Linked DNA regions of Styela clava. The protein of the gene in region 3 purifies or fractionates together with the protein of the main gene of each other region. This does not show direct contact. Links are inferred from orthologs where the notes say so. Each region holds a gene or a part of one and is shown on either strand. Other genes may lie near its edges. The genes, in order: serine/threonine-protein kinase ATR-like, protein timeless homolog, claspin-like and cell cycle checkpoint control protein RAD9A-like.

What was found.
Region 1: the proteins of claspin-like (region 3) and serine/threonine-protein kinase ATR-like purify together in Homo sapiens (affinity purification with western blotting; 3 studies listed by BioGRID). This does not show direct contact. The link is inferred for Styela clava from reciprocal best matches to the Homo sapiens genes CLSPN and ATR.
Region 2: the proteins of claspin-like (region 3) and protein timeless homolog purify together in Homo sapiens (affinity purification with western blotting; 4 studies listed by BioGRID). This does not show direct contact. The link is inferred for Styela clava from reciprocal best matches to the Homo sapiens genes CLSPN and TIMELESS.
Region 4: the proteins of claspin-like (region 3) and cell cycle checkpoint control protein RAD9A-like purify together in Homo sapiens (affinity purification with western blotting; 3 studies listed by BioGRID and IntAct, with this or other methods). This does not show direct contact. The link is inferred for Styela clava from reciprocal best matches to the Homo sapiens genes CLSPN and RAD9A.

What each region holds. Positions count from the first base shown.
Region 1 is NC_135260.1:13,861,705-13,870,400, reverse strand, and holds the start of serine/threonine-protein kinase ATR-like, read right to left. Parts: upstream 3,597-8,696; 5' UTR 1,223-3,596; coding exon 1,164-1,222; intron 592-1,163; coding exon 459-591; intron 389-458; exon of another isoform or gene 287-388; coding exon of another isoform or gene 278-286; intron 1-277. Other genes in the region: sodium-coupled monocarboxylate transporter 2-like, read left to right, coding at 6,975-7,035, 7,383-7,486, 7,994-8,182. UniProt on the Homo sapiens protein: Serine/threonine protein kinase which activates checkpoint signaling upon genotoxic stresses such as ionizing radiation (IR), ultraviolet light (UV), or DNA replication stalling, thereby acting as a DNA damage sensor.
Region 2 is NC_135252.1:12,595,306-12,603,696, forward strand, and holds the start of protein timeless homolog, read right to left. Parts: upstream 3,520-8,391; 5' UTR 3,479-3,519; coding exon 3,397-3,478; intron 2,683-3,396; coding exon 2,529-2,682; intron 1,950-2,528; coding exon 1,832-1,949; intron 1,564-1,831; coding exon 1,358-1,563; intron 1,080-1,357; coding exon 965-1,079; intron 783-964; coding exon 658-782; intron 304-657; coding exon 127-303; intron 1-126. Other genes in the region: 2-amino-3-carboxymuconate-6-semialdehyde decarboxylase-like, read right to left, coding at 6,727-7,740. UniProt on the Homo sapiens protein: Plays an important role in the control of DNA replication, maintenance of replication fork stability, maintenance of genome stability throughout normal DNA replication, DNA repair and in the regulation of the circadian clock.
Region 3 is NC_135262.1:14,186,967-14,195,531, forward strand, and holds the start of claspin-like, read right to left. Parts: upstream 3,648-8,565; 5' UTR 3,515-3,647; coding exon 3,470-3,514; intron 2,945-3,469; coding exon 2,875-2,944; intron 1,548-2,874; coding exon 1,488-1,547; intron 956-1,487; coding exon 465-955; intron 17-464; coding exon 1-16.
Region 4 is NC_135250.1:10,169,683-10,177,582, forward strand, and holds cell cycle checkpoint control protein RAD9A-like, read left to right. Parts: upstream 1-5,163; 5' UTR 5,164-5,245; coding exon 5,246-6,388; 3' UTR 6,389-7,151; downstream 7,152-7,900. UniProt on the Homo sapiens protein: Component of the 9-1-1 cell-cycle checkpoint response complex that plays a major role in DNA repair. The 9-1-1 complex is recruited to DNA lesion upon damage by the RAD17-replication factor C (RFC) clamp loader complex.

The DNA.
Region 1 (8,696 bases), on a different chromosome or scaffold from region 3:
GATACAAATAGATAAAAATTCTGGTCAGCAAGCTAACTTGTGAAGAAGTATAAAACAAAAAAATCTCCTTCACTCACCTTGATCAACCAACAATGCAGAAATACAAATAGAAAAACTAACCTAGACAAAGCAGGTTTGGATCAAAAAATGAACAAACAAAAAACAAATACAGCAGTAAAAAATAACTGGGCTATCGTACTAAAATCTAAACTTTGAGATGTTTCTAAGCTCTGCTTTTGTTATAATTATTAACTCACTATCCACTATTATTACACACCTCGGTCATATCATATGACAACTTATCAGCCTATTGTCCGTCCATGTTGGCTATAAGGATAATAACAGTTGGGCCTATTCGTTTCGGATGTATTTCATTAAAATTTATTTAAGTTCCCTGAATATGACAACGACATGTATTAGACTGTATACATAATAATTCAAGCATACTAATAATTTACTTGGGAAGTTTTTCCCTTTGCTTTTTCAAGTTCTTTAAAAATTGAATTAACATCTGTCAAATGATGATGAATAATCATCTTCAAACTTTCACGAATCTTCACACATTTTGTTACAAGTTGTTCTGGAGGCAAACTGTGGACGACAATAATTCGATGAATAAATATGTACAAAGAAAAGTAGAAAAAAACTTCCTGAATTCAGAAAGCCTAATTAAGGACAATGAATGTTTCACAATTGGCTACTTCGAATGAGATGTTTTCTTTGATAAGGCTTCGCAATGCGTTTAAATATTGCATTTTTGATATGGCCGATATGGGTAAATCTAATTTTGACAAGATTCGAATTTTGTATCAATATCAGGATATGGAATGGATATTAGCAAGCAAATTTTTCATGCCATCATTTTGTGAATTTGATAGATGAATATTGAAAAAAATCAAAATCAAATAAAAAATAGGACTAGATCATTTGAAAAGATGCCGCTACTACATGGCAGGTAAGGTTTTAATTCTTTTTCTCTATCAGTATTTATCAAGACTGTAAATAGATAAAATTATGCATTTGGTTATAATGTTGAGATATTTCATACAATCCAATGCAGTGTAGCTGTCCAGCAAACCATTATTCACTACATTTAACCTATCCATGAGAATATCTCCTAACCAAATTCTGAATTTTCGAGAAAATATAACATTAGTACATACCTTGAAATATTTTCATAATCTGCTACAATGCTACTCAGAATTTCTCCGATAGCAGCCATTATTCAAGATGGAAAATAAACAAATTAATGAATGAATGAAGAATCTTGAGTTTATACAATATGAATGACGAGTATTTCATACGCTTCCAAACTTTCTAGCTCCAAAGTTGTCGAAGATATTGAGATATGTCAAAATCAAGTCAAAATCCCAAGACTAAACTCATTACCATAATCAATGCCTACTCCAGTATTCCCCAGTTCCATTTGCTGATTCAATAGTTTCACACTTTATATCCAATCGTTCAGTCGTTAATTATGTTGAAAATAGAGACGTTCCCATGTTCAAAAGTTATATATGATTCAGTTATTACAGTATTGAAATAATTTACCGACAAAAATTTAATATTATTAATATGATGCAAGACAGACAGATCATTTGGCAGTTTGGCAATACCATAACGGCATAATAGAATACTGGAATATTGAAATGCAGCACCATACTGCCATAACACTGTACAGACTGGAGTCTGCTGGTCAGGGAGTCAGTACGGTGGGTCTCATTGGCTTTTCTGCTTTCACCATATTATTCCATTCAGACTCTTGTCGGGTGCGGACATGTCTGCTTGAAAAGACTAGAGAATGCTACGCGCTGTATCGTATGTTTCGGTATTTGTATCGCGTAATATCAACACGTTTCAGAGAATCCTATTTTAAATAGAAATCGAAGCCCCTTCCTCGAGAGACGTATGGCGGCTAATTCTCTCCATATCGGTAAAGATACAGTAAAACGAAGTTGCGTATTGAACTAAAAATAAGCGCCAAGCTTAGACCATCACCATTGAATTCCTCGGAAACAAATAATCAGATCCACCAAAGGAGAAAAAATTTTACCGAAGCGATTGAGAGAAATAAGCAAAAAACGATCGGCGGCGTGTGCCATGACTGAATTTCAATCGATGCACGCAGGCACGCATCGGCCGTTCCTCGACGCAAACCTTGGCTTGGCGTGTTTCTCTCATTTTCAATGTAAATAGGATGGCGTGTTAACAATAATAAATGGATCAGAGATAATAAAAATTACATTTTGATAACACCATATATCATATTTTATGTTCTTTCGTACACCTACAATCAATAAACAGTAAATTTAATGCCTCGATGCAGCATTGGATGAATAAGTTTATAAAGCAATAATACAATCTAATGACGCAAAGAGAGATTCATATGTCGCAAAATGCGTAATTTATACAAAAATAGATCGGAAAAACAAGAATAAAATTAGCAAAATAATTTAATATCATGCCGCATCGATGTAATCATACGCCGCAAATCAGTGAAAAACAAGATTCAAATTAATATAATGCCCCATCGATACATTCATATGTCGCAAATGTTTAACTTAGCATTAGTCTATGTGGTACCATCACTCAATGGTATTGTACTTATAGTAACTAATTACTATATTTAGGGTGACTTACCCACTTTGCGGCCATGACCTATCTGCGACCATCAACTTCATCGATTAAATTAATGCCGAAAAAATTAACGAACCGCGACGATATTTCTCACGCGTTATCGTCCACTTATCCCTCGTAGCTCTGCGAAATTACACTAAAATGCGGCCACAAATAAAAAAGTTACGACCGAAAACCTGACCGAAGAAAAAAAAACGGACCATTTTACCATGTCGCCAACTACCCATTGTTCCTTCAAAAAAGCTTGAAAATCCAAACAAATATAAGAGATAAAGAGATGAAACTTGGCAGGTGGGTAGAGTTGTGTTTCTTTTAACCATCTTTAAAGTTTCGCGTTTCTACATTCAAAGGAGGGGGAGTAGGGGGGTGCGCATTTCCAATACTTCAATAATATCTTTGTCAACTAATTTGCGACCACCATGTTTTTGTCAGTTTGATTGCTGTGATGCGGTGCTTTGTTTATAATTTGAAGAATTTTGTTCGAAATACCCGTGTTCTTAAAATATATGACGGTCAGAAATGCAATTAGAAGCCCATTTTTTCACGCATGGCTGCGTACCGTATGCCCTAGTCTCGACGCAGCAGAAACGATGTTCAAGGCTTAAAATCCGTGATCGCACACTGGTCGTTCGGTCGCAAAAACGTCTTCAGAGTGTCATACTTTGGTGGTTTGTATAACTTTAACCCCTGGTCGTAGAAAGTTAATTCGAAGTTCAGCGTGTGGAATAAATGCCAATGCACCTACGGTGAAAAAATTAACGAGTTAGAAATATTGGTTTTTGTTTTATAGCGGTTTGAATGAAATCGTCCGCAGACTGGCTACACCACCCTACATGCAGTGTGTTTCATGTTGTGTTGTGTCTCTATTTATACAGTTATACGGTAGATGTTGTTTTGTTATACAAACTCCTTTGTACAAACAGTTTTGTATACTCCACCCTTACCCCTGTTACCACTCCCACCCACCCTCCTTGCACAACTGTCTCTGTCTGTATAAAGGACCATATTATACATAGTCTATTTGATTTACCTTATTACAGTATTACCGGTACTGTATTATAATCAAAAGGGGTGTAGACTATGCCGCACATTCGTGTTTTAGGCCAGTATGGTCTTGTGCATCCATCCCGTCTTCAGTATTTATAATTACTAATTCTTTTATATTGCTTTTACGAGACGAATAAACATACATACATATCCTAAACTAAGAATTCACTGTCACCTTTAATTAAAAACTTAGCCCAATGCCGCCACTATTTACGCATGAACGATTCCTTGCAAAACATAAGGAAATGACCGCCTGGAGGTGTAAGAGTGAGCCAATCTCCACTGCGATTCATCGTAAATATAGCCGTGCCTAACTGGTTGGTTAATATTCAACTTGAAAAGAAAATAAATAGAACTAACGTGTAAGCGCAACGCGACTTGCTTTAATTATTTACTTGAATAATTGATAACTTCAGCTTTCATACCCGACTGCTTTCGTTATTGGACACGAAATGTAAACATGGATCGTCTTGTCATTATGTTGTTGTTGTTGGTATTTATCTCCTTATTGTCATGGAAAAAAATCACTTTTCTCCTGAACTACTGAACCAATTACTTTGAAATTCTCAGTGGTTGAAGATTCTACTTTTTGCTAGGAGGATATCATTTTTAATTATTTCCAAATATTCCGTGGGATCTATGTGATTCGTTTTTCACTTCGATATTTTATGTGATGACCTCTTCAAAGTGATTAAAAAATATTTGTGGGGGTTCTGCGACCTACCTCATGCTACGCTAAAGTCGGCTTCACTTTGGCTTTCGTGTCCTTATATTTTAGCATCGCTCTCTTGTTCTTATGCAGTATTTCATATAACTTTTTTGGTTATTTTTTTATTGTTTGTTTTACTTTTAATGTTTATAAGTCGAATGTTTTTTTATAACTTTCTTGAATTCAACACAAATTTTAGTTAAAGAAATATGCCGTAAACAAAAGAATCAGATTTCAATACGAAACACGATGGTTGTTCGTCAAAGGGTTCATCGAATCTCGTGCTATAAAACTAGATAATCATCAACCGCGCCATTGATCGTTAAAATAGCAGAACTGAATACCGAACTCGAAAAATGATATCTAATAATTCAAACGAATCTGTAAACAAAAAATATCAAATTTGAAAACACCGTGTCTCACACACAAAGTATCCATTCCATTTCTGTTGCTGATTGTGTAAGGTGCAGTAATCGGTGTTGCGACAATCTGACGAGTTAATTTCGCAAACTAGTAATAGGGCTACGAACAAACATCATCTTTTACGCATTGGTATTGTTTAAAGACACATGTAAAAAATGGGTAAATATAAAAAATGACGAACAATGTGCGAAAATTTGAAACCTAAGATTTTCAAATACTAATATCGTTATAGTTAATAGGTGTGATATCGTTAAAAATAAATCTTCTGCATATCTCTAGGTAATGTATTGGAAATTTAAACACATACGAATATAGAGAAGTTGCTGCCAAATTAAACTTTGATATTTGAAGTATTAAACGGGCTCCCTGATTATGTCGTCATTACGACGAACTAAATTTTTGCACTTGGGATTATTTGAGAGGACTCGTAAAAATAAAGACGAATTTTTAAGCGATGAACTCGGTAAATACGAGCTTCCGTGAGAATTCACAAAAATAATTAATGTATGGCGTAGTTCCAAGACATTTGTAAATATAGGTTCCGACTGCCTGTTCGTTGCCAGGCAATACATTAGAAAAATGAAAAGTTTAACGGCAAATACGGTAGTCTATATATATATAAGAGATGTTATTCATTAACATCGCCTCAGTATAAACTTCGTGATTTGATTCTGCGGTTTATTATGTAAAATTTTAGACTATTTGCCAGGATTTTATTTTTATATTCAAAGTTTGAATTAATGAAAGCTAAATTAATTGGCACGTAAGGTGAGCTTACCAACCTACTTCATGCATTGTGAACAAATAATAAAATCAATGAGTTCCAGGCTCAATCCAATTATAAGCTTTCCTTCACAGAATATTAGTCGCAGATTGATCGCATGATAGAGTTGACTGTGTATTGGTTGCAAATGTTTTTATACCCTAAAATTTGCAAGCCGAATCGTTTGTCGCTCTCTGACGGTAACTAAGCTTAGACAAGATATCAATTGAAATACATGACAAAAATATGACATGAACGTGCTTCGACGACAAACACAAATTATAATCAATGAAAACGCAGTTTTAAAGAGTTACCGTAACTTGCGCATCTGTGAATCAATGCATAAACTTACGTGACAGATGACTTCACTGCTCACAACATCTGAGTTGGAATAAGTTTATGAACAAAACCAGTTGCAAATCGTCGAAATACATGGGTTTTAAAGTGAAAAATATGGGATATAATAGCAATTAGCATTAACTATTGCCTTTAGTCCGGACGTCCGCTGTCTTGCTCAACAAGAAATTCAAAAGAAAGAAATCCCGATTCCTTCATAGTGTAGTTAACTAGTTTCGTTTGATTAATGATGGCATTTAATTACCACTTGTCCCCAATATTAGAATGGAATCAGTGCCGCAAATGGGAGTACTGTTTATCCTTCATTCGAGAACACATTTCAATAAACGAATGCTTGATGAGGAAAAGAGTGGGCCATTATCCTTAGTTTAGATTATTGTAGATCTCTGGTTGATGTATATATATATTAGAAATTTAATCACATACGAAGATAGAGAAGTTGCTGCCAAATTAAACTTTGGTAATTGAAGTATTAAATATCTGATTATGTCGTCAATACGACGGATTAAATTTTTGCAATTGTGATTATTTTAGATGACTCGTAGTAGAATCTATTCCAGAGCAATATATTACGCAAAAATCATAATTATATACATATGTACATATAATGATGGTATCTTTTAGATATTTATCTGATGTGGATTTTGTGATGAAGCATATATATATTGAGATATTGTCATTAAAATAATGTTGAGTATCCCAATTCGACAGCACGTACAGTACGGTACTGATGTAGCCTACCTCGCGCATTTATTATCTGTAAGGACCAACATTTTATTGCAACTCTCTGTTACTGCCTGCGCATGTTTATTGTAGTGCACTCATCACCTTCGATGTGTCTAGCTTTAGGTGATTGATGAGGATAACCCAAACAAAACTGTGCAGCAGACAGACGTTCATCGTGCCAATCAAGAGGTTCTTCCGCCAGCATTTTATTACGTTTTATGAGACGTGCTTTCATATATATATATATATTTCTATAGGGCGACAGATATATAATTTTTTAAATCAAAGCTTGGACGAATAACACGTAACATTATGGATTCAACTGATAATGCGAAGAAATGGTTTGGTGCGGTGGATTTTACAGTTTTTGCAAGTGAGTAACTTTACTATTAGACACAACCATATTAGTCCATGTGGAGGAATTCATGAATAACCTTAGCATGTATTTTTTCATGAAATTACTTATAAAAAACATTATTTGAATTGCTAATAATTATGTAATTTTCAAACCAAAATATTGCACTTTTGGTCGAAATGCCTCTTTAACGGCAAAACAAGTTTCTTCAGCAATGAATAATTTGTGAGTTTCAAACTTTTGATGAATTTACGCCAAACAGATATTACCCATGTTTTTTCATAACATTTTTGCAAGAAAAAAGACTAGAAATTTCCTTTTGGCAGCAGGGAATCGTACACACTAATAATATTTTTGTTTTTCAGTTTTTCTTGCTCTATCCACTTTCATTGGCGTTTTCTTCGCGTTCAGAGATAGAAAAAACAACACAACTGCCAACTACTACTTTGCTGGAAAAAAATCGAATCCTGTATGATCATTATTCTCTTTTATTCTTCAGTAATACTCGATGCATTTATATTTTTCTACCAAATGAATTGTATTGATAATGAAGTTTGAACTCCAACTGCCACGCAGTCTTACTCATTTTAAATCATGTCTTTTCATCTAGCGAATCACTCATTCATTTTAGTCAATAGGTGACACCGTGCATCCCTCAAAATGAAAGAAACTCGTTTCCGATATGATCTTAATAACTTTGAATTTATTGTTAGGCAACTGTATTGATAGTATTATATATATATAATACAAGTACAGGTAAAATGGAAAATGTGCAGTCCAAATTTTGTGAAAGTCAAACCGATGCATTCGCGATAACCCGTTAGCCAACTGTATTAATAGTATATTATTTATAATAGGGCCTACAAGTACAGGTGAAATGAAAAATGTGCAGTTAATTCGTGCTAACCCAACATAAACACTTTTCAACGTATAGAAATCCAATGCCGAATAATTATATTTTTATGCTCCATGTTAGATCATTGTGGGACTGTCGATGTGTGTCACATACATGTCATCTTTTTCATTGGTTGGAATACCGGCGGAGGTGTACCTTGTCGGAACGGCCCATATACTTATTGCCGTTGGAATTATCTTTGCCGCATTGACTGCCATAGTGTATCTTATTCCTATATACCACCGGTTGCAGCTACAATCAATATTTGAGGTATGTTTGCATTTTGTGAGCAATATCCGTTCGTATATTTGATGATTCACTTCAACTATAGATTTTGAAGAACAAAACTAGAAATGAAAATCGCCGGCATATTTACATTCAATTAATTTTGACATCAATATTATTTGGATTCAGTTAGCTTTCGTTGGACATTTCTTAAATGTATGAAATCAAAATATTGCATTTGTCACAACTCATATCATTTTCATTATGAATTCAAGTATTCATAAATTTTAATAATTTGTAATGCCCGTGTCATGGTTACTGAACATTCTACCTTGATAATGTTGTTTGTGCCTTATAAGTAGAGGTAGCGGAAATCTGATTTAGGAGCCGCCGAGACGACCTATCATTCCACGTGCACTGTGCTTTTGTTGTTATGTGTTATATTTCATGTCACTTATTTATGACGTTCAGAAGTTTTTATTGTTCGCAACTTTAGAAAATTCTTTTATTGGTTTGATCCCCATTTACGCATATTTTCCTCAAAGAACGTGACAGAAAA
Region 2 (8,391 bases), on a different chromosome or scaffold from region 3:
GGAAAAGTGGAATAATTGGTTTAGAGGTATAAATTGGCAACTACCGAATTTAGATCCCTAGTCAAATTTCAAAAGTAATTTTACACTTTGTGTAAAAACCTCAACTACTATACACAATACACACACCTCTTAACATTCCCATCAATCAATGGTCTCCTATGTTTTGCTTTACGAAGTTTATTTTTTCCTTCATCGTAAGTAAGGTTAGAGCACTTCTGTAGAGATTTGTGAATAACAAGTTCATTATTATCTGCCAAAGCCGATTTTCCTTTAGCAACATAGGTCCCACCAAACCTCGAATGCCTAAAAATAAATAACAAGTTAGTATAGGCTAGGACATATTTCCTCAAACTGGGCCCTCGATTCCACAATGGAGCCACGGAGCGGTTCTCTTATAGTAAATTTACGGTAATTCTTTAGCTGTGAAGCATTTTTTTTTTCAATAGTGCTCCATTCTGAATTGTTAGTAAATTTAAAGGTAGAAGACAAAAATAAAGGTATTTGATTCAAAGAAACATAAGTATCATAGTTTTATAGACAACAAATCCAGAAATGTTTGGCACAATTTTTTCCTGATTCATTTTTTTCGAGAAAAATCATGGTATGTATAATCATATGTTAAATCATGTAAAAAATAAGATGCTTAAAAATTCCAACCTTGAACTTTGCTGCAATTTTCTCATCTGTCTCCTTTTTTCTTCTTGTAATCTTAATTGTTTTAACTCATCTCCCTGTCTCTCACGTTCTTGAGCATTATTCATTCCAATCAGAGCATCTACATTCTAAAATTGTTGTAATAAACCGATTTAGTGGGGCAATGGCCTAGATTCTAGGCCATTGCCCCACTCTAGGCCCTAGAAGCTATAGGTCTTGAACTTTGTGATGGCACCGCAGGTAAAAGACAATATTCCAATATTACAAATTATGTTAATGTCTAGATCCAATAAATACGATGATTGCTTACCTGTTCTTTGAGCAGTAGTGAAATAATCTCAGCAACATGTAAACACCATTGTTGTTCTGTTGTTGAACTGGCCAAGTATAAGACCATTGAATCAATCCCAGATGTATGTAATGCTCTGAAAATAACTTTTGATAATAAATTTATAAAAAAAAATAAGAAAAATGAATCAGCCAACATCTTTGAGATATTAATTAAAAGGTGGTAAAACATTTCAAGTACATCGGTCGCATTAAAGGTACTCTCAATTTTTCAGTTTTTTTTAAATTGCCACTGTATTATTGAATTCTACTTTCATTTTTATTTTAGTTCATGGAGAACTTTTGTGCGAGAATATGCAAGCACATCGGTTGCATTAAAGTTACTCCCAAGAAGCATTATTTACTGTATTCATACATTACAAGTCTATCATGTGTAGACATATTGTCAGCAGTCTGATTGTCATCTTCAGTGGTTGGAGGAACATGCAGCAAATTGCGACATAATACAAGAATACGTTCAACAGTGATTGAATCATCCGGTGATCTGTCCTCCCAATCTTTTTCAAGAATATCGTAAACTTTTTGTGCCAGCACTTTCCATGTTTCGTCATTTGAAAAATTCTTATGCATAAATACATTTAGAATAAGACTTCACAAAAGATGTGAATTTTTTATCTAATATGCATAGAAACATGTTTTCATCATTCAAATAGAAAATTGTCATAAATAAGTCTTAAAATGGACTAATTGGACTAATCAAACTAATTTAATCCCTTGAAAATTGATAAATATGATAATTTGCTGCCCCAATCCAGTAGAAACACCTAAAGCCCAAAATTATTAGACATTCTTTATTCAGCTTCTGGAATAACATCTCACGAGTACCCACCTCTTTATATTCCTGACTGTGAGAGAGAATATCCAGATAATTGTGATATTGATCAATTTCTGTTGGAATTTTGTTACCATAACACAACAGAGCTGGTTGAGTAAGATTCACCAACAGCCTATAATAAGAGAATTTCTAACGAAGTAAAAGCAAAAAGTGAAAACTATAACTAAGAAACGTTGTAAAAATCAAAAAAGTTCCAGGAAATAAATCAAGGCAGTGGAGTAATCTGACATATTTTCTTTAACGCAAACTTATATTTTCGAGCACCCCGAAGTTGGGAGGTTGAATTCCTTGGTGTTTGCCAAAATAACAGACTCTTCATGGTGATGATCAGAGTAAATATATTTTTACAGGAACTCGAAAATAAAAATTTTTGATCAAAGCATTTCTAACAGCCATAAAAAAGTTTGCATACCCAAAAGCTTTCATTATCAAATTTTATTTCCATGGGATTTCAGATCTTCAGTTGAAATTATCAAGAAATAGGAGTGGGGAGCTAGAGTCTTGAGTCCATTTTTTTATGCAACTATGGAACTGGAGTTGATTGTAAATTTACCCCGATTCCACAATTCTGATTTGCATTGGACAACACAGAAAAATTTGAGATTTTAAGTCGAAAATCAGTCAGAATTAAATTTTGAAAATAAATCTGTAAATCATTAAAGCATCCCTTATTAGTAGTTAAAAGCTTTACCTTAGTACAGCAGCACATAATGCATCATCATCTGGGTATTGACGTAGAATAGGAAGAAGGTCATTTCGCACAATGTGCCCTGCTCCGAGTTGTATGCGAATTTCATGATTATTGTCCTCCGAATGTAGAAATCTTATGAGACATTTCACAGTGTCTGCAATGGAATGATACTATGAACATCCCAAACAAAAATTGTTCGCTATTAAAACAAATACCCATTTACTGTTGACTATTGTCCTCACTGTTTGCACCAATTGTACCACTTGCAGTACATTTATAACACTTGCACCACCATGCACCACTTAATTGGACACTATCAGCACAGTATCATTTGCTCCACTTGTAACAATTTTACCACATGTTCCACATGCACCAAACATACCACTCAAACCATATGTCCCACAGTATCATTTGCACCACTAGAATCACTCGTCAAATGCCTACACTACGAGAGGTCTTAAAATGATGCCTGACATCTTAGTTTACTAATTGAATAAAAGCATATCAAGTGTATTTCCAGAAAAATATTATTAAAACATGATCATGCCTAAAGTATGAATATGATCACCGGTAATAATTTTTCTGAGGATGATTAACCTTAGAAATTGTAACAAACTAGCAATATGGGGGATATTTCACTCCCAATTAGTCTGACATTTTTAGGCCAATTTCCATACAGGCAGCACTAACATCCCGTGACATGTAATGGCATACTACACATTTTCCTAACACTATTAAAGAAATAAAACACAAGCTCAGCTCAAATATGAGGATTATATATATTTGTTATTTAATGATTGCAATATATAGGGATTTTGTAACCATTTTCAGCATAATTGAAAAACACAGTACAGGTAACCACACCTACCTATGCAGTCAGGTTCTTTGAAATATCTGTCATCTTCAAGGTAACCCAGAGCATTACAAGTGGCAAGAAGATCACTATCCATTATATCTGTGCATTACCTATACACTACCAACTATGCGAGACACAAAATACAATCAATAGAAACAATCCCATGATATTATAAAGACAGTATTGTAAAAGAATGCCAAACCAACAAAATCTGGCCGCAATATCATAACATCGCTTGGTAGATAGTAAACAAATAGGCATGTGAAATATGATAGTCCGTCAGCTAAAGAATTACTAAGATAAAACAAAAACTTGCTAATGTAACACAGATATACAGGGTGTTCAATAAGTCCTGTTACAATATCCAAAAAAAATAGTTCTCAATATTGTTGTAAAAAGGATTGTTTCATTTTAAAAAGTTTTTTTCATTTCATTGAATATACCTTTATTATTCGCCTACTAGTTGAACTTATACAGGACTTAATGAATACCCTGTATTTCAATAACCAATAATCAGTTGTCTCAACAATTCGAGCTGTTCCGAACTTTTTTACCTCTGATAGCAGCACAACCCGTGGACTAATATTGAAGGACAACATTTGTTGTTTTATCCTATTGTTGGACGAAATTACAACATTTAGTTGTTCAAATTTCATTAACCACTCCCAGTTTACAGGTATAGTACAAGAGCAGTAAAACTTGTATGATCTTCAAATGAACATTTTTAACAACTTAACTCAAATAATTAATTTTTATAAATGAAGGAACATTTTTATATCATATCTTTTTTAACCCTTTGCATTGCCCAATAACAAACTATCCAAAATACCATTATCCAGTGCTTTTTGGTATACTGTAAATTCAGTTGTTTTCTAATTGGTACAAGATTGCAGTAATCATGGGGAAAATTTTTAAACCCCAATTTTTGAGCCCATTTTAAAAATATGATGAAAACTTAAAAAATAGAAGCAATTCCAGGAAAATATATTGAACTACTGTGTTCATTTTGCCCACATTAAATATCGCACAGATAATATTCAAATATTGCCTAAAATAGGCGTGACCATGGGTAAAGGAAATGACCTGTACATCACAGAACAATAATAAAAAACAGGAATACTCAAGAGTATAAAATAAGTGTCACTACGCTACCGAATCAAACAAATGTATTAGTAAATGGAACATCACATTTTTAGAAAAGTTTGGTATGTTTGATTGATAATTCTGATCTTTGGACTACATACTTGACTTCAAAAATATCAACAAAATTTGAAAATAACAAGAAAAAGTATGCTCGCGCGTCACCTCACACTCCTTATAAAATTGCAGCAAGCGGCAGTCTACCTCAATGTGAAAATTTGGGAAGAGTTTAAATAACAGCAGTCGACATAAGATTGATAGCCATGTTGAAATATCCCTACAAGAGTGACTGTAAAAAGCTCACTATCATTAGCCACTGTATTAAAGTTGATATTTCACGCTCATCCATCAAAGCTGAAATATTTTAGGTCAAAGTCATGTTGTGTAACGTAACATTATAGTTTCAAGATTCAACTTGACTGAGTTCAACACCAGCTGATCCGTTCTCTTGATCTTCATTGTAAATGTTTTCAGCCATCTGCCACACTTGCATAATGTTATCTTCTGACACTGAACAAATTGTCCAAGGTTCATTTGGATTCCAAGAGAAGTCTGATATTTTAGAAGTATGTCCGCCGTGAACAAAAAGCAATTCAGGTGGTCCGTCCTCTGCATCTTCATTCGATTGTTCTTCTCCAATTTTACTGAGATCCCAAACGTTCAATCGTCTGTCTGTTCCACTCGACGCAAGTATCGTTTCGGTATGAGGTGACCATTGAACTTGGAATATTTCATCCTTGTGACTGTCAAATGAGTGCAACTTGAGTTTTAGATTTCGCAAATCCCATAGTGCGACGGTTTTATCAGCTGATCCAGTTGCTAAGATGAACTCACTATATGGGTTAAATGAAAGACAGTTGACTTCAGCTGCATGAGCGCTGACAGTGTGACTTGGTTTATCAGAACTAGTAGATCTTGTGTCCCAAATCATCAAACTTTGATCATCAGCGACGGAACCAAACAAACTTTCATGCAATAAATGCCATGCTACATCTTCAACTACAGCAGAATGGCCTCTGAAGATCCTCTTAGCATCAAGGGTCTTTTTATCTTTAGGTGCAGAATTGACGTCCCAAAGGCAAACTGTGTGATCATCTGATGCACTTAGCAAATGACCAGCAACTTGGTTATTCCATGACAAACCATAACCCTCTTTCAAATGCCCTTTTAAGCGAAGATCAGGGCAGCTTTCACCATTAGGATTTGGCTTGCTGGGGTGCTTGGTATAGTCAAAAATGAGGACATCACAGGAGGGAGTTTTTGTTGCAATTACACAAGGATTTTGTGGCATGTGCCTTGCTCTATTGACTTCTCCTTCATGATTGATTTTAATCTCAATTTCAATTTTTCCAGCAACAGATCCAAATCCACCGAATTCACCCCTTTCACCATCATAGTTTGAGGTATCAAAATGCCCATCGTCTGTAGGAAGTTGTACACTACCAATAATCAGATGATTCTGTTCATCAGTAGTATGAGTACCAAGAATAACACGATGTACAGTGTATTCTTTATTCTCAGGTCTGGTGACATCAGGCAACCATTGAACTGTGAGACTCGGCCATTCTAAGGCATGAGTCATTACAAGGTCATACAAAAAAGGAGTGTTTTTCTTCCATATTTTATATTCTTCATTTATCACTCTCTCTTCCAATGCTTCATCACCACCTATGGCGGCTGAGCTAGAGGCACTTTGTGTTTGAGCCATAATTTTGAATATGCTATAGCAAACGATATGCTTACTTAATAAAACTATAATACCGCAATCTAGATACACATGAGATAAAGAGAATCAATGTTAGTGTAATCTTCAGCTAAGAAAGCAAGAAACTAGACGATTTCACAATGAATTTTTGGCATCTTATCTTGACAGCTATGACCGAATAAACGATTAGAACAATAAAAACAAAACAATACATGATTTTTTCACGCTGTCACCTTACCAGTACTATATACTACACAAAATTTTTTGAAATGAAAATTAATTGCACAAGGTACGAAATATTCATTAATTCATTGCATACGAAAAAGCTTATTGAAGAAATCACTATTAAAAATATTGCAATGCGAAATAAAAATGGACAAATACAAAAAAATTTCACCACTAGACTAGACACAAGCACAGACCATATCCAAAATCCGACCATAATAGATTATACCAATTAAGTTTACACCAATGAGCAAAATACTGGCCTAAAGACTTTAAACATAATCTTTTTCATTCAAGTTCAAGAATCTGAGTGCATTCCTAAACAGCACCTTTTCCTTTGTCTCAGAATTTAAAGATTTCGTTGATTCAATCAATTTACCAGGGTGATGTTCCCCCAGGGGAAAAGGATAATCTGAGCCAAGAATTACATTATCCTCACCCATAACATCCAATAAAAACTTTAAAGCATTAGCATCATGTACAAGACTATCTGTAAAAATATTCCCAATGTATTTACGCGGTCCAAATTTATTTTCTGTTGCACAGAGATCTGGTCTTACATTGAAACCATGTTCAATCCTTCCTAATGTATATGGAAATGACCCGCCCCCATGACCAAAACATATTTTCAACTTGGGAAAGTCTTCGAGAACGCCACCAAATAAAATACACTGTATTGCGAGTGTTGTTTCCGCGGGCATTCCCACAAGCCACGGCAACCAGTATTTCTTATACCTGCCACCAAGTTGCATGTCCCAAGGATGAACAAATATAGCAGCATCTAATTCCTCTGCCTTTTTCCAAAATGGTCTTAATTCTTGAGCATCCAGATTCCAGTCATTAATATGAGATCCAATTTCAAATCCACTAAATTTCAGATCTTTCATGCATCTTTCCATTTCACCAAGCGCCAGTTCAGGTGCTTGCATAGGCAATGTGCCTAGAGCAGCAAAACGCTTTGGATATTGTTTAACGGTACTAGCTAAATCATCATTGATTATTTTTGAAAAATCCAAGGTATGTTCTGGTTTGGCCCAGTAATTGAACATCACAGGAACAGTGGATAGTGCCTGAACTGTAACACCCGTAGCATCCATGTCTTTCATTCGTTCCTCGGCTGACCAACAATTTGCATTGATTACTCTAAATAACTCGTCATCTTTCAACATCTTTGCTGTCTTACCATCACATGTATGTTGAAGCTGAATAAAGCCTCCATACCCATATCTATCTTTCAAATTCGGCCAATCTTTTGGAAGTATATGGTTATGTATATCAATTTTCATTTTGAATGCACTTGTATTCACGTTATTTTATTGAATAGTACTAAAACAAAAAAGTTCATTATATTTATTATAGATAGCAATTTGATTAGGTAAACACCATGATAAAACTGTTTTCAAAAATAGTTGAAAATATTAATTACGGTACATAATTACACATTACTTTAAATTCAAAATATCCGATAAACACTTGTAAAAGCCCCATTGTTTTAGCCAAAGCAACACCAATTGCAGCAGATAATTGTACTTAATTTAACACATCATTGCAACTAAAGTTAGCAACTAGAGGACATCTGACATTCAAACCAAATATGTGTTCATTATAATGTTTCAAAGGTTACCAAATAAAATACCAATCTAAACAATTCTCATTTATAATTTTGGGCATTGACACGTGCTCTATAAATAAATACAACATAATAAATTTAAGACATCTACATCAACAATACTACACTGAAATTATTTTTTCCAAGGTGATTTCTGCCTCTTATAGTTGTAAGGTATTTGTAAAAAAATAGAGGAAAGTTTGGAAGTAAATTATACTTTCCAAATTTGGAAATAAGTGATTATGGTAACCGTCTTTGAATATAAATTGATTTTTAAAACTTCTCTATTAAAAGTGAAATATTTTAGTAAACATTCACGATTATTATT
Region 3 (8,565 bases):
CATACACATCATTATCCTTTATGATAAAAAATTGATAAGATATACAAGAGCTGATAAAAATCAGATTATTTCAAAATTTTTAATGTTGTATTTTTTCAAACTATATATATATATAACCTTAAAGACTGTTTTGATTAATGGTTTAAATTATTAACAACCATTTACTAGGGATAATTTATTAATGTTGTTGTGTCTTAGTTTCAATAGAAATATAGCTATGTTCACTCATACAAATAATTGAAACTAATGAAAGGAGAGTATCTACCATAAGACTTGAGCTCACAAAACTGACTGTGGAAGCGGAACAACTAGATATTTTGATGCATTCCACATTATGGATTTTTCCAGTCAATTTTGATAACATAACCATGAGAATATTCGTAAAAGTCTTTGAGTCAAACCAAAATGATGGCAGGTAGTATTTCATAGATCTTTAAGTTAGAGATGCAATAATTTTATGATACCTCACAATTTATTCCTCGGCTTTCAGTGACACTTGTTGGATTTTTATTTCTAAATAATCGTAATGGTGGAGCGTCATCATCGCTAGAACTGTCAGATTCAATATCACTTTCTGGTGAGTCATTGTCAACTTTTGCCTCTTCATTGTGAGTTTCATCAATTTCGGAAATTGGAATTTCATCTTCATCTTTTATTGATTCGCTATCGATCTTTAGTTCATCAAGGGCATTTTCGGTCAAATCATCACTTTTTGTCGACTCTACATCACTTTCTGCCGAGTCATCATCTGTATTTAGTGTATTACGATGAGTTTCAATATCGACATTATGATCTTTTTTGGAAATAATTCCATTATTGCAGTCTATAATTTTCTCATTATTTTCAACTGTTCGCTCACTAGACTCAATGTCTTTGTTCATATTTACAGAATCATTATCAGAATCTGAATCTTCCATCTGAATTCTTCGCGATTTCTTCTTTTTTCCAGAAGATTCTTGAAAAGTAATATGAAATAGTTGTAATTATTAAACCTCGTAAATCAATACAAAATATGATAATTACGTCAAGAAAATCACATGAGCAGGCTTACTTGACATAACCCAATAGATAACAAAATAGTATGAAATAAGATATAACCCAGCAAAAGGGGTTACTTACTACTATTCATGTCTTTCGCTGCAACTAAACTAATTTCATCGGAAGACATAATGAGAATTAAATTACTTCATTCACAACTAATTTTTGGGAACACAACTGAAATCTGACACGCAAAATCACAGAAACGAGGCAATGTTTACAACCATGCTTGGATATCTGTCTGGGCGAACGAAGTATTTAAGCGGCTGCAAAAATTGCCATTGTTAAGTCATCATTTACTTTTTGCTGATTGGTCATTCTCACAGAAATAAACAAAGAAGTTGATGCTCAGCGAAACATCCATAGGCCCTTGGGCCCACAACGGTTGAAGGATCAGCCCAGTACAGTTATAAATTAAATATGCATTATGAAATAGTATTAGCACTCACTTTGTTCTTCTACCCTTTCATCCTCATATGAATGTTCAGGATTAGGCGATGATTTAAATTCTGAGAAAAAAGTGATCAAATATCACAAGATAAATTTAAATTTATCTTAATAATACTAATATACACATTGAAGCAGTGCAATGAGTAAGTAAGCATGTATTAATATTTTTGTAAAACTATAATGAACAGAAAGTAAACAATATATTTTAATGAGAATTTTCAATTGAAAAATGCGAATCAAAGTCACACATATATGAGATAATGTTCTCAGTTGTGATGTTAAAAGGGGAACGAGCTAGAATATTATTAAGATATATTTTTAAAATGTTGAATCAAGTTGTTAAAAAGGTTTTCAGAAATTGATCATACTTGGTCATACTATTTGACTTCAATTGCTTAAAATAATATTTTGGAACAAAACTGATCATAGAAAGCAATTAATTTCAAAGTAAAACATAGGGTGGCTCAGCCACTTTGCGGCCACGACCTATTTGCGGCCATCAAACTCGTCAATTTAATTATTGCCGAAAAAATCAACGAACCGCGACGATATTTCTCATGTGGTATCGTCCACTTCCTTCCACTATCGTCCCTCGTAGCCCTGTGAAATTACGCTAAAATGCGGCCACAAACAACGAACTTACGACCGAAAACACGACCGAGGAAAAAAAAAACGAACTGTTTGCTCATGTCGCCAACAACCTATTGTCCCTGCAGGAAAGGTTGAAAATCCATAGAAGTATAGGAGATAAAAAGATGAAACTTGGCATGTGGGTAGAGTTGTGTTTCTTTTAACCATCTTCAAATTTTCGCGTTTCTACATTTCCAGAAGGAGGAATGTGGGGGGTGCGCATTTCTAATAGGTCGGTAATAATAAATTCGTTGACAAATTTGCAACCACCATGTTTTTGTGTGTTTGATTGCTGCGATGCGATGCTTTGTTTGTAATTTGACGGGTTGTGTTCGAAACAACTGTGTTCTTGAAATATATGACGGTCAGAAATGCAATTAAAAGACCAATTTTATTACGCATGGCTGCGTATGTGGAAGTCTCGTCGCAGCAGAAACGATGATCAAGGCTCGAAATCTGTGCTCGCACACTGGTCGTTCAGTCGCAAATACATCTTCTGAGTGTCGTACTTTGGTGGTTTGTATAGCTTTAACCCCTTGGTTGTAGAACATTAATTCGAGTTGTAGCGTGTAGAATAAATGCCAATGCACCTACGGTGAAAGAATTAACGAATTAGAAATATTGGCTTTTATTTTATAGCTATTTGAATGAAATCGTCCACAGGCTGGCTGCACCACCCTATATTTTGTTCACTTGAGACATTCCTGGAACTGGCTTGTAAACAATGAACTTAAACAGATAATAATTCAACTTTACTTGTCTTTTTTTTTCTTCTTTTCATAACAATGGGTTCATCTTCATCACTTGAGGAAGGAAGAGAAAATTTCTAAAAATATTGAAAATGTAAAAAAAGAAGAACAAAAGAAAATGCTGTAATTATTTGATTATGTGAAGAGTACAATTTTCAGATTTTGGTGATGAGAGAAATGATACCGCATCCACTGAGCCATGCTCAGATGCTGTTGCATGTAACTCTATACCAGTACCTGTACGGTACCGTACAGCCGTACCGTACCCAATTTGGCATGGGACATACCGGTACCAGCTTAGTTTTAAATTGAGTACCGGGTACGGTACGGTACAGAAGTGGATTTGATTTTAACTAAACGCGTACACATTCAGACATTCGCCGCCAGATGAATTTTAAAAAAAACATAAAAATTTGGCATCAAATTTTTGTTTGGCGTGATTTAAGCAGTTACTGCTGTACCGATACGGCGATACTGTGTTACGGCGTTTACTTCGTTAGACCCTCTGACCCTTAAGTCAGTAGGGTAGGTACCTTAGAGTTCTAACGTAAACTAGGCTACATACCGGTTACCGGTACCGGTACCGTACCACTCCATCCTACCTCCGAAGCTTTAGATATAACTTCCACGCCAACACACTGGCTCATATTACTGTATTGGACGAATCAAATATGAAGAATGCAGAAAATTATCAATGATTCAACCGAACAAACTCATAGGCAGGCCATTCAACTTGCAAACGCGTATCGACGAGCAATGAATATCCGAAACTGAATTTTCCCGCTGTTTACTAAATGATTGACAGTTGCTGAGAGCGGAAAATAATTTCGCTACAACGATTATGCATTATTCCCTTGGGAAGCATTCGATTTCAAATTTTGGACACGAATTAGGCTCATGGATAGTTATGTAATTATTATGTTGTTGTTCTTGTTTTTTTTCGTCCTATTTTTCTGCCATCCTGGGTTTCGTCTGTGCAAAGAGCCAAACATCGTCTGACAAAATGGCTCGGCGGTGTGGCGCATCGGGCTAAGCGTTAGGAATACGCTGGCCCCCGCATCTCTGATTATCCTTCGTGGGTTCGCAGGTTCGAATCCCATGCGGGGATGATCATGTACGAGAGGATTACTAGACTCCTCGCCGCCGTAGGGTGATTTACGTAACCGCTGGTCGGTTACGGCTTCCTCGACCATCAAGTCCATGCTTCCGAAAACACATACCTGGCTAACTAATCCCGTACCCAACCTGGACTGGTAACCGGACGAGAGACCGTGGATCTCTATTGATTAAGCCGTCTTATCGGTTTTCCCCTCCCCCAGGATAAATATGTAAATCCTATCCTAAATGCGAAGAGTACCGGTACTCAACAATCCCGAAGTGGATAAATATGGGTCATATTGACACGAAAACACAAAAAGTCCACCTTGCCCTAAAACAACGTTATTTGAAAATCCGTTTACTGATTATTCGTGTATTGACAATATATATCTCAGCATTATCACGATTTATTTTGAGCTATTGCTATAGCAAGAACAACCCTAGATAAGAAGCGACTGATAACAAAAGAGATAATGGTTTGTTAATACATCAGAACCTGAGATATTTTACGTGTTATGACAACATAATATCTTACTTATCCATTTCAAAAACATCAGCCATTATCTGCTGATATCATCTCACTGCGTATAAAAATGTTATTCACTCCCATGAAAAAACCTTTGTAGTTTCTAGACCGAAAATCTTTGTGGTTTGGCCCGTCCACCAATTAATATTATTGCTTTATGCTGTTTGTTTCGGTGATGCGGACAAAACCCCGCTATTTCCTGTCTCCTACATGACTTAGCCTACTCAATTTTCGCACAATGATTTTGATTTCATTATTATACTCCCTTTCCGGCTTTTCAATAGACCCACTCATTCCCCGTGCCTGGTTTTCGCTTGCTCTTTCTCTCTTTCTCTATCGCTCCTCTCTCGCCACTGGTCAACTCGATATCACTCTTATCGCACCCTTGATTTTTTATTTCCCATTCATAATAGGACGATTCTTTTTTCATTTTTTTTCACATGCTCTTTTATCTGCCTCAGTTTCTCTTTTTCTCTCGATGGTCATCTCTCAGATTTCAATCATTAACACTGATTTCTTCACTGATTTCTGCAAATCGGTTTCATGAAATCATCTCAGTTCAAAGTTTGGCAAGAGCCTCATCGCATAAACCAGCATCTATAAAATTTGAACCTGCTTATATTTGTGCCCTCGTAAATATTTGTGCTTGTGGTAATTTACATTGACACATCCACATATTTTCTCTCATGATCATTTGTGCCCACGGTCACCACAATTTTCTAACTAGCTAACAACATTAAGTTACTGCGAATAATTTACTTGTGGAAATATGTGCTTTTATCAGTGGCGGCGCGTCAATAGGGCCAACCGGGGCAATGCCCCGGTTGTTTTTTCGGTATAATAAAAAATATTCGAAAAATACCTCAATATCGGTTGCACAGACTGTCTACATTAGCCATATTCTCCCGATATGTTTCATTTTTCGCTCGCAAAGCCTTCGCCGAACGTCGACGGGACGACTACCGCCCGTGACTCACGTTGGTGTAAATTTGGTTTTAGATATCTTAAACATCTTTCCGAGCGTGCCAGGGATCATCAATCTTCTATGGAGCATCTGGACAATGCAGTAAAATACCGAACATTGAGAAATGTTAATATTGCAGCACAGTTGGATGAAGGACGCGCGGTTTCTATTCGTCGGCACAACCAAAACGTCGAGAAAAACCGCCATGTTCTCGGTCGATTGATAGATGTTTAGAAGTTCATTGGTTGTCACGAGCTGTCCCTCCGTGGGCACTATGAACTGGCTGGCTCTTCTAATAGAGGGGTATTTTTGGATATGGTGGAATACACCGCATCCCTAGATACAGTATTGAGAGATCATCTTGATGCCGCAACTGTTTCGAAAGGGACATCTAAGGATATCCAAAATGATTTGCTCGACTCAATGTATAAAATTTATTTACAACATTTGGCTTTGGAAATTGAGAATTGCCAGTTCCTTTCGATTCAGTCTGACGTGACAACTGACATCACGTGCGTTTCCCAACTGGCTGTGATTTTTCGGTTTGTGAAAGATGGTAAACCTACCGAGAGATTTCACAGCTTTGTACCAATCGTTGATCGCACGGCTTGCGGGATATCGGCTGTACTGAAAGAAGTGTTACAGCCTTACAACGCGAAGTCAAAATTGATAGCTCAAACTTATGACGGCGCGGCAGTCATGAGTGGGTCGAAACATGGTGTTCAAGTTTATATAAAAGAAGATTTTCCTCATGCGCATTTTTTACATTGTTATGCACACCAATTTAACCTCGTTATTGAAAATATGTGTCTTGATATCCCTCTCGTCCGTATATTTTTTGCAAATGTTTCGGGGTTTTCTTCATTTTTTTTCGTTTCGCCGAAGCGCTCTGACCTCCTTCGCCAGATATGTAGCCGCCGTCTTCCAGCTTGTGCACCAACACGTTGGAACTTCCAATCACGCGTGGTGCAGGGCGTGTTCGAAATTAGGTCTGAGTCATTGAGTGTTTCAATGGCATTCAGAGCTCTCCGGTTTGGGACGAACGCTCTGTGAGGGAGGCGGCAGGTCTAAAGCGTCTGCTAGAAGATGGTGAGTTTTAATTTTTTCTCGCTTTTTTCTCCACAATATTCTATCACGTGGATGTATTATACGGCGCATTGCAGTCAAGGCTAATGGATGGAGCGTCTGTGCAGTCGTGTATTTCAGACTTCTGCGATGCTGTATCTCGTATCCGGGAAACAATAAAATACGACGACACATGGAGTGCTTCTTTACGCCGCGGGCAAACAACGCAGCGTTTGATTTTGTCTGCAAAGGAATGCTGTGACATTCTGGTGAATCAAATAGGCGATCGTCTGCGCACTGAACACCTTGCCGCGTTCTCTTTGATGAACCCCAAAAATTTTTCAAAAATTGCACGTCAATTTCCCATCCATTTGTTGGCTACTGTCTCCAAATTTTACCCCATGATAAACGTGGGTAAATTGGAAAATGAATTGCGATGTATATACACCAATCAAACTTTTTTGAACATCACATCAACTTGCGCGATCTATGGGTTTCTCATAGATAACACTCTAGTAACTACCTTTGCGGCGTCTGCAAAATTTCTGGACATCATTTTGACGACGCCTATTTCGTCCGCCGACGCAGAGCGAACATTCAGCACGTTGAAGCGTATTGAAACGTATCTCATAAACACAATGAAGCAAGATAGATTAAATTTCTTGGCTGTTTTATCCATTCACAGAGACGTTATTTCTGGGATGCATGACTTTAATCAGCGCGTTATTAAGCATTTTGCTTCCAAGAAACCGCGGCGTGTTGCATATATGTTCAAGCAGTAGAAGTCTAGCAGCATATATATCTATGAGTGAGCGACGCATGTCCTTATCTTTACATTATTTTTCCCTTCTTAATAGTAACGTTTTAAACCTTATTTTAGGTTTTGTCTGCTTTTCCGAAGTTTCTGTTAATATGTCATTGTATTTATCTGGGTAAATATTGCCTTTCCTTTTGAAAGAGGTTTCAAAATAAACTATGTCTAAATTTATTAATCCCTTGAATTGGACCGGTTTTAAAGACACTTTCTTATTGTTAAAAATTGTCGCCCTTTGCCGATTGGTTGTTACCGATGGAATGGTTTTTATACTCATAAAATGATGGGAGAACTTACAGCGCTCATCCTGTCCCCGTGGATGGGGTGACTTGGTCCCGCAGTAGCTTGCCCCGGTTGTCAAAATGACCACGCGCCGCCATTGGCTGTTATGTTTCATTCAATAAAATTTTATTTTAGTATTCCTATGTTTCCGTGCCTCCTTTGACCTCAAAACGATTTTTTATTCATTGTCACGAAAATTTGCATTTATATGATTATATGTCATTGTGAAAACAACCTAAGAGCCCAGTGGGAGCCAATATTTCGACCAAACTTATGCTATTTTCTTTTAATTCGTAGAAGCACTATTTTATGTCATATGCTAACATTGTATATCCTTTGTTTATATACATTAGATTAGAGCATCTTTCTAATAGTTTTCAAATATTTTGAAGGTACTGAAACTACTCTCAAGAATCCTTCACTTCCTATTTTATCTCCTATTCAAGTAAAAAGTCTGATGGCAATAATGGTAACCGTGTAGAAAATACAGGATAGTTTTCATCATAAAGGTTTTGATTGTTTGGATAATATATATATACTAATAAAAAAATAATTCTAATACGAACAGAATACCAAAACAATTCCTATTTATATATTGTCCAGTAATAATATTGGTATAAAATGATTGGCAATATGTCGCATTTACCGCATTGAAATCTAACGATGTACGAGATATGTCTTATTTTAGTATGCAAACAAGAAAATGTGCTCGATTTAGAAAGTTATAAGCTTTTTTGAGTAGCTGTTATGCTATATAGAGTATTCTCATTTGTCCAGGGAGTTAAATTTTCAGACCAATAACCTGACGGCGAATGCAAGAAAGAAAATAATTTTGAAGATTATACGACAATTATTATTGATTAACAAGGTAATGTATTAATTAGGTTGATATTATTGCATATAAATTAACATCGATTTAATCGGTTCATTCCACTTAGCAATTGTCTGC
Region 4 (7,900 bases), on a different chromosome or scaffold from region 3:
GATCATATGGCAAACCAGGGCATCTTCAGATGCATGAACTTATGGCAAACAAACCTACGACAGCGAGTAGTCCAACAATCCCATCGCACTTCCACTGCTAGAATAATTCATCCAGTGATGTCGAATAGGCATCACATGTTTAGGCTGTGAGGCGAGGCCCTGAAAACGCCTAGAAAGTGGGTTTCGTAGCGCACATCTGGGGACTATATGAATCATTTAGTTTTGTATGAAAATGAACATATTGAACGCATTACAGCATATTCCCAATAACGAAAGTAGCAAATTATCTGCAAAACATGCTTTAAAAATCTTGATGCAAAAATTGGATATTAGGGGATTTCCCGAAAATCAATACCCATAGGTTCACAACGACACAGCATGAAAAGTTTCTACCATTTTATAGAAGCCATCAAACGCCTCAATTTTATGCGATGAAGTCACAAATTAACACCGTGAGCACAAAACACAAGAAAATCGGGTAAAATCCTGATGCGAAATTGGGGACTCCTCGGAAAATCAATAACCATAGGTTTACAACAACACAGCATAAGAACTATGCAATTCAAGAGCCCTGCTGCACACTAACACAAATGTATTTATGTAACGTTTCGTTTGACCGTAAATAAATAACAGACAAAATATCACTATATTACATTTGACACACAGACAACTTTTCTGGTCTGCATTATACAATACTGAGAAATAAAACACCATTGTGTAATTTGGACTTCAATTGCTAAATATAAAACAAAGAGAGAGATCTCATCAATGACACTTATTTCGGCCACCCGCTGTTATTTAATCAAGAAATTCACAGATTTTATTGATTATTTAACATGCGTGACTCCTATAATTCTACTATGATTGTTTAAATATGCATGTAACTGCTTTTCGTGTTGTAGTTGAATTATGTATGTCTGAAGAAGTCTGACCTTGGTCAGACGAAACGTTACAGAAATATATTTGTGTTAGTGTGCAGCAAGACTCTTGAATCACTTAGGATTGTTATCTCTACTCTTGCTACAGCATCCTTGCAATATATGCATACGGATCCACCGGCACAAAAACATAGAGGAAGATTAAGTAGTTAGTTTCGCAGAAACCAAATAATTAACAAGAGAGCTGTGCTCAAATATTTGAACACGTCACAAGGTATCGCTATTTTTTTATTCTGACACATAAAAAACGAATCTCTTGATATACACTGAAATTTTTGAAATAAGTAAAAGTAATAGCCTTCTGGCAAAAAAAATCAATCTTTAACCATTGAAAATTTCAAAGCAATTGGTTCAGTATTCGAAGAAAAAAGCGATTTCATCATGACGAAAGAGAATAATAATAACAACAACAACAAAAACAACAACAACAACACAATATTGAAACGATTGTTATGTACACTGACGTGTCCAAAACCCTATCCATGGTCAACAGGTGGGGGGATAATTGGCTTTAATTCTAGAGCATGTGTTGGAAACCTTTTTGGTCAAGAGAGCCATAAAAGGTACATACTTTCAACTGAATTTCCGTGCGAGCCATATAGCATTTCTTCACTTAATCAGGCCCGAAATTTTTACTCAAAAGTCAACACACACAATGTCAATATATATATTTAATGTGACTTCTGATGCTGCATGTTGTCGCCGCGTTGAAGTTGAAATCTACGATACTCATCACCCTACTTTCGTTTAGGCATCTCCTTAGTATTTAAAAAACTAGCTTTGCTAGTCCGATTTAAATATGACAAATAGGCTGTAACTACCGTGTTTCACCAAAAATAAGACTGGGTCTTATTTCAATTTTCTTCCGAAAAATAACACTAGGGCTTATTTTCGGGGGATGTCCTATATTTTTATTTATCAAAAACTGAATTACAAAGTAGAGAATCACGAAATTTTCAAATATACAGAATATGAATTAGAGGTAAGATCGGACCCCAAAATTCCAGCCCGACCCGAACCGGCCCCGTGGGTATTGAATTCGCAGGCCCGATCGGAACCCGCCTAATTAACTGGATATGCAGGCCCGACCCGACCTGAGCCGGGTATGGTAAAGTATAGAAGGAATATTTTTGGAATTTAAAGGTCGGGGAAAAGTCCATTACAGCGTCTTCTCTGTTTTATTTAAACTATTTTTTTTTATAACAAGTAGGCTATTCTTTTGTTTAGTATCCACACATAGTTTTTTTTTATAAACATATATTTATTTAAAAAAAAGTCAGCGATAGAGAAGCCCGACCCGACCTGAACGTAATGATTGACATTTCAGGCCCGACCCGAACGTAATGATTGGCATTTCAGGCTCGACCCGACCCAGCTCGAACGTAATGATTAATATTTGAGGCCCGACCCGACGGGTCACAAACTATATTCCAAAATCCCTTAATTTCGTCACAATGCCAGTCTGGTAATTCTCTTAGATGACATAGACATGCGCTGGGCGCGCGTTCTCGAACGTATTAGCAAATTTTCTGCCAAATTTGGCTATAAATAGTTTGAAATCTCGTAACAAAAGTAAGCTTAGCTTTAGAATACTATATTTTTCTGGGAGCCATATGTCGTCACAAAAAAAAAACCCATAAATGGCTCGCGAGCCATGGATTCCCGACCTCTCTATCTAGAGTAGACAACAGTGATGAATTCCTGCCTGGTAATTTGCCCTCAGAACATGTTTCTTTAGTGAATCATTGTTGAGAGGAAGAGTATAATCCACATGTTTTCCAGTTTTAAAAAAGACGTGTTCTTGGTATCATTTACATTCTTACCATCTTATATTGGAACATATCAAAATTATTTCCAAGTAGTCCCCTTATGTGCGCTACGAAACTGAAAGATGAACGGCCTCGTCTCGCGGCCTAGTTTGTACCAAAGTGAACTTTGGTTTGTACAATCTAGATAGCGAATACCCCACAGATTACTACCAGGCTACTACTATCAACCAAATGAGCATGCTCATTGTATCACGACACATAAATTAATCATGCAGTATCGAAGGAAATTTCTGGGGTCAAGGGTTGCGTAGCCATCAATTCTAGTAATCAGGGGACGGACTAAAAGTAGGCACTTGCAAATTAGGCACTTTTTTAGGCACTTATTTAGGCACTTTGAAAAAAAAATAAAAAGGGCGTAATACCTTTTAAAAAACATAATTAATTAGTTAAAAATGGTCAAATTAAATGTTAAAAACGCAAATTGCAACGGGCAAACTCAATAGCAATATGCAAAACGCAGTATTAATGGCAGTCGCACGCGCTTGGTCACCACATATGCTAGGCACATACTTAGGCACTTCGAAAAATAAATAAAAATAAATAATCAGTGAATATTTGAGTTCATGAGCATGAGTTTATCTCCACTAGACTAGAATCTAGATTATAGTACTGGTACATAGGATAACCTAAGAAGTGTTAATACTGTAATAATGAGATGCCGTAAAAGCGCCTAACTTCGGACAGTTCCTAACTTCGGACAAAATTTTTGAACGGCCATATCTTGGCTAAAACGCGCCGTATATTGCTAATTTTAATTATTATAGGTTGCGCTGTTATATCTACATCTATTCTCATCTTTTTTAATGTTGCATAATTATTTTTTTGGTAAAAAAACGGAAATTTTGCCGAAAATTGACTGCCCGGCATTCAACGGCGCAGAGCGTCGCTCCTACTCAAGCTATCATCGTCAAAATACCATCATTCGGTAGAGGGCGACAACAATGTATATAATTTATTTGAGTGATCGCAAGATGTCGTACGAGATTTAAATAAAACCTAAAATTCTGAATTATAAATTCCGTAAGAATATTAAGATTTCACGCAGCGTCAAAAATTACGTCAACCTCACGTAGATTATTTTTCGCTCACTTCCGACACGACGTCACACTTCGTCGCGGAAATGAATTTTGACGCCAGACACAACGGAGCCAATATGACAATTTCCGTTAAGATAAAGACGGCGTTCCAATGTAATATTTTTGTATTTTGTTCGGTCATGTATGAATATATGCCAAAATTACATTAATGAAAATACATGTCACACTTAATCGATAACGTTAAGAATCGAATATATAAAACTATGATAATTCCAACGTCCATATGGCACAGTGCACTGACTTAACCATTATTTTATGATTAGTAGTCGAAATGACAGTTATTGAATACGGCCTGGGTGAATTTTATTCACTCGAAATTAAAAATAAATTTAATCTCCAACAAATAAACGGGACCTACATGTTTACAAGATTAAATTGAATTTTAAATTAAACTTTACAATCGGATTTACCGCGTGTTTGATATAAATTATCATTTATAAAGATAACCGCGCAGAATAAAAAAAGCTATCCGTCGGGAATAATTAATACTTCAATAACTTCGATAGAAGCCCGTTAAAATACTTTATTGTGGATTGAAACGGTTTGCATCAGATATATTTACGTATCATTTCCTGATTAAAATGACTAACGTGTTATTATACTCATCTGAAATATGGAAAATAACGAACGAAAGATGTAAACATAGGACGACGGAAGTTTCAAATAATGAATTTTCGTCGTGACGTCAATGTTACGTTACGACGACGAACGAGCGTCTTATCTTCACGCAACGACGTGATTACGTCATCCGCATCGGAAGCCTCCTTCTCTCTGTGCGTCGCGGTTACGCAGTGAAGAAAATGACTGTCCGAAGTTAGGGCAGTGAAGGATAACGGTCAGATGGCAAGAAATATCGATTATTTCAATAGTAAAAATAGTCCAATTGAACCGAAATTTGCAGGGAATGTAAATTACCACACGAATGTTTTACCGAGCCATTTTGGCACCGTTTGGACAATAAATGGCCGAGTTATTGACGAAAGTATAGTAATTTTGTCCGAAGTTAGGCGCTTTTACGGTGATATCTGGATATAGCCTAAATCCTGAAATCTGCAAATGTATAAGATCATGTTTCAGCTGGCCTACCTCGTTTGTCTGCACTACAGCACTGTCTATATCTAGACCCTGTGTTTGATACTTTTACTTTAGCACAATCACAAGCATATAAACATACCGGTAACAGCATAATGCAGTAATGAAACAGATTTCTGGATTTGCAAACTCCTGAGCTAGGCAATAATTGTTACAAAGTTACTTGTGTACCGGTACTTCGTCGTCCCTTCACGCTACGGTCATGTCTGTCTTACCAGAATTAATTATTTATTGCAGGCTTCATATAAGTTGTCACCTGCTTTTAAATGTTGCAGATTAATCAGCAAAAATGAAGTATCTTATTCCTGCAAATCATGTGAAGTGTTTCGCGAGATCAATACACTGTTTATCTCGTCTTGGGAGTGAGATTTACTTCGACTGCACGGAGATAGATGTCCAGCTTAAAACGTTAAATGCTTCAAGGTCAACATTTGCATCTTTTGTCTTTCCGAGTGTCTTTTTTGAAGAATTTGAACCAGTTATAGAAGACGAAGAAGAAAATCAGTTTCTTCGCTGCAAAATATCAGTTAAAACATTTCTGCAAGTGTTCCGTTCAATAGCGTTTATTGAACGCTCTGTTGAAACTTGTGAGATAAAATTATCTGATAATTTAAGTCAGTTAATATTTACTTTGAACTGTAAGCATGCAGTTGTCAAAACTTATCAGCTAAATTTTGAAGAATGTGAAAGCTTAAAAGCTGTTTATACAAAGGATTTGTCTCCTAATAAACTCACTGCGTCTTCTAAGTTGTTACAAGATGTTTTTGCTAATTTTCCTACCTCGTTAGATGAAATTACGTTATCTGTAACACCATGCAAAGTTTCATTGTCAAGCTTTGCAGATGAGGACGAGGTTGGAAAAATTATGTCGACGGAAATGAACTTAAGTCCTAAAGAATTTAGTTATTTTCAAATCGGTATCGATTCATGCGTATCATTCTGTCTAAAAGATATTCGCTCCATCTTGACATTTGCGGAATCCTGTGGTTCAGAATGTAAAATGAACTTTGAATACGGAGGAAAACCATTTGTTTTGGAATTATCACAAGAGGAAATTTTTACGGCAAATTTTGTTTTAGCAACAATATCTGGTGATTTAGAAAGCCAGCAGCCATCGACTTCAGTTCTAACAGAAACAACGAATAATAATCACTGGAGTGAGCGAACAAATGCAAATGAAAGTAGAATACAACCAACTAAAACTGTGTCTAAAAAAGCTTCTAAAATTAGCGCACATGGAAGGGTCAATAATCACGAAGAAGTTGAACATGAAATCACTAATAACATATCCAATCATCAACAATCATTTTTGCTTGGAAAAGATGACACAATAGTTCATGTTAATGCCATATTTTTCTCAGGTTCAGGGAAGAACCAAGTTACTGCCGTGGATAATACAGTTTTAGCAGCGGATTCTGATGACGAATCATGATGTTGTTTTTTGTTGGGACGCTTTCCTTACAATATAAATTGTTTATTAGAACATACTGTACATTACAGGGTGGCCCACCCCCCAAAAAAAACCATGGTCATTTGGCACAATTCTAGAGATAACATGATTTTAGTACAAAGTGTCCTAGAATATACATTTCCTCTCCCCCGGGATAAATATGTAAATCCTATCCTTTCTTCATTTTTGTAGAAGTGAAAAAATGTTTTTTTTAATCACCCAGTAAAGTGGTCTAATCGAGCCTAAAATGTGTAATGTAGTTGGTAGTTCCTATATTTAGCTATGAAAAAATTTTTTACATATCAATTTATCGTTATGGCAATGCTTTTTCCTTAGATCTTTTTTAATGGATTTTCACACTTTTACAGGCTTGAATATTGTTTTTCTTTAATCATAATTTAAACCAATATTATAGTCTCTTAAATTGATTGATTTCATCCCAAATCTGGTTCGTTTCCCAAGGGTTATTAGGCTAGTGAAAATTCATCAAATTGTTCGCCAGAAACGCCTGTAAAGTAGACATCTAAAATTGTCATTTAATTCAGTTTCATTACTGAGTACTAAGCTACATCCGAGAGCCCTCTTCCTGGAAATATGAATATGTTTGTATTTTTATACCTGTTTATTGCTCAGCCAGTTGGCTGCTATGTTTCTTTCTTTTTTCACGTGCTATTTTTATTGTTCATTTCTACACACTGCGCCATTTTATTACATATTTTATAAATAAAAATATCAAAATGTTGTTGTTCAGTTTACTTTAGCGTCCAGTGGAAAATGAATCCATGATATGCATATACAGCATATCACAGGATAGCATTAGTATGAATTAATACTAAAATTGTGCAAAACCTGATGACGCCCTGCCTTTCTGTCTGGCCTGTACTGTGTAGTCAGGCTTTTCAAGGTTCAAATTTTGAAAGGTTAGAGTCTTCTCGGAGCTTCACAACACCATAAGTTGTTAATAGGATTACAACAAAGTTCTTTGTGCTATTTCCAGCTTTTCTGGGGTGCGGGTGTAGTAAATTAACTAAAGATGTGAAGTTGGGGGGTGTTTCAAACCCAGGTATGAAACCCACTCTCCTGACAATAGGCTTGACTTCCACATTGGCTTCAAACTAGGTATAAGATCGGGCCCAAAAATTCCAGCCTGACCCGGGCCCATGGGTATAAGACCAGACTAATTAACTGGATTTGCAGGCCCGAAATTTCATGTTTTGTTTAAGAAGAATATAATCAGAGGTCGGGGAAAGGTCCATTACAGCTTTTCTGTTCATTCAAATTATTTCTTTCATAACAAGTATTTCCTGGTTTAGTATCCACACATGGTTTTATTTTTTAAGAACATATATTTATTTAAAAAAAAAAGTCAGCGATAGAGAAGCTCAACCCGAATGTAATGATTTACATCTCAGTCCCAACCTGACCCGAATTGTCGGGCTCGGGCTTCAGATCTTAGCTCTACATCCTACAGAAAACCAAATTAGGAAGACTCAA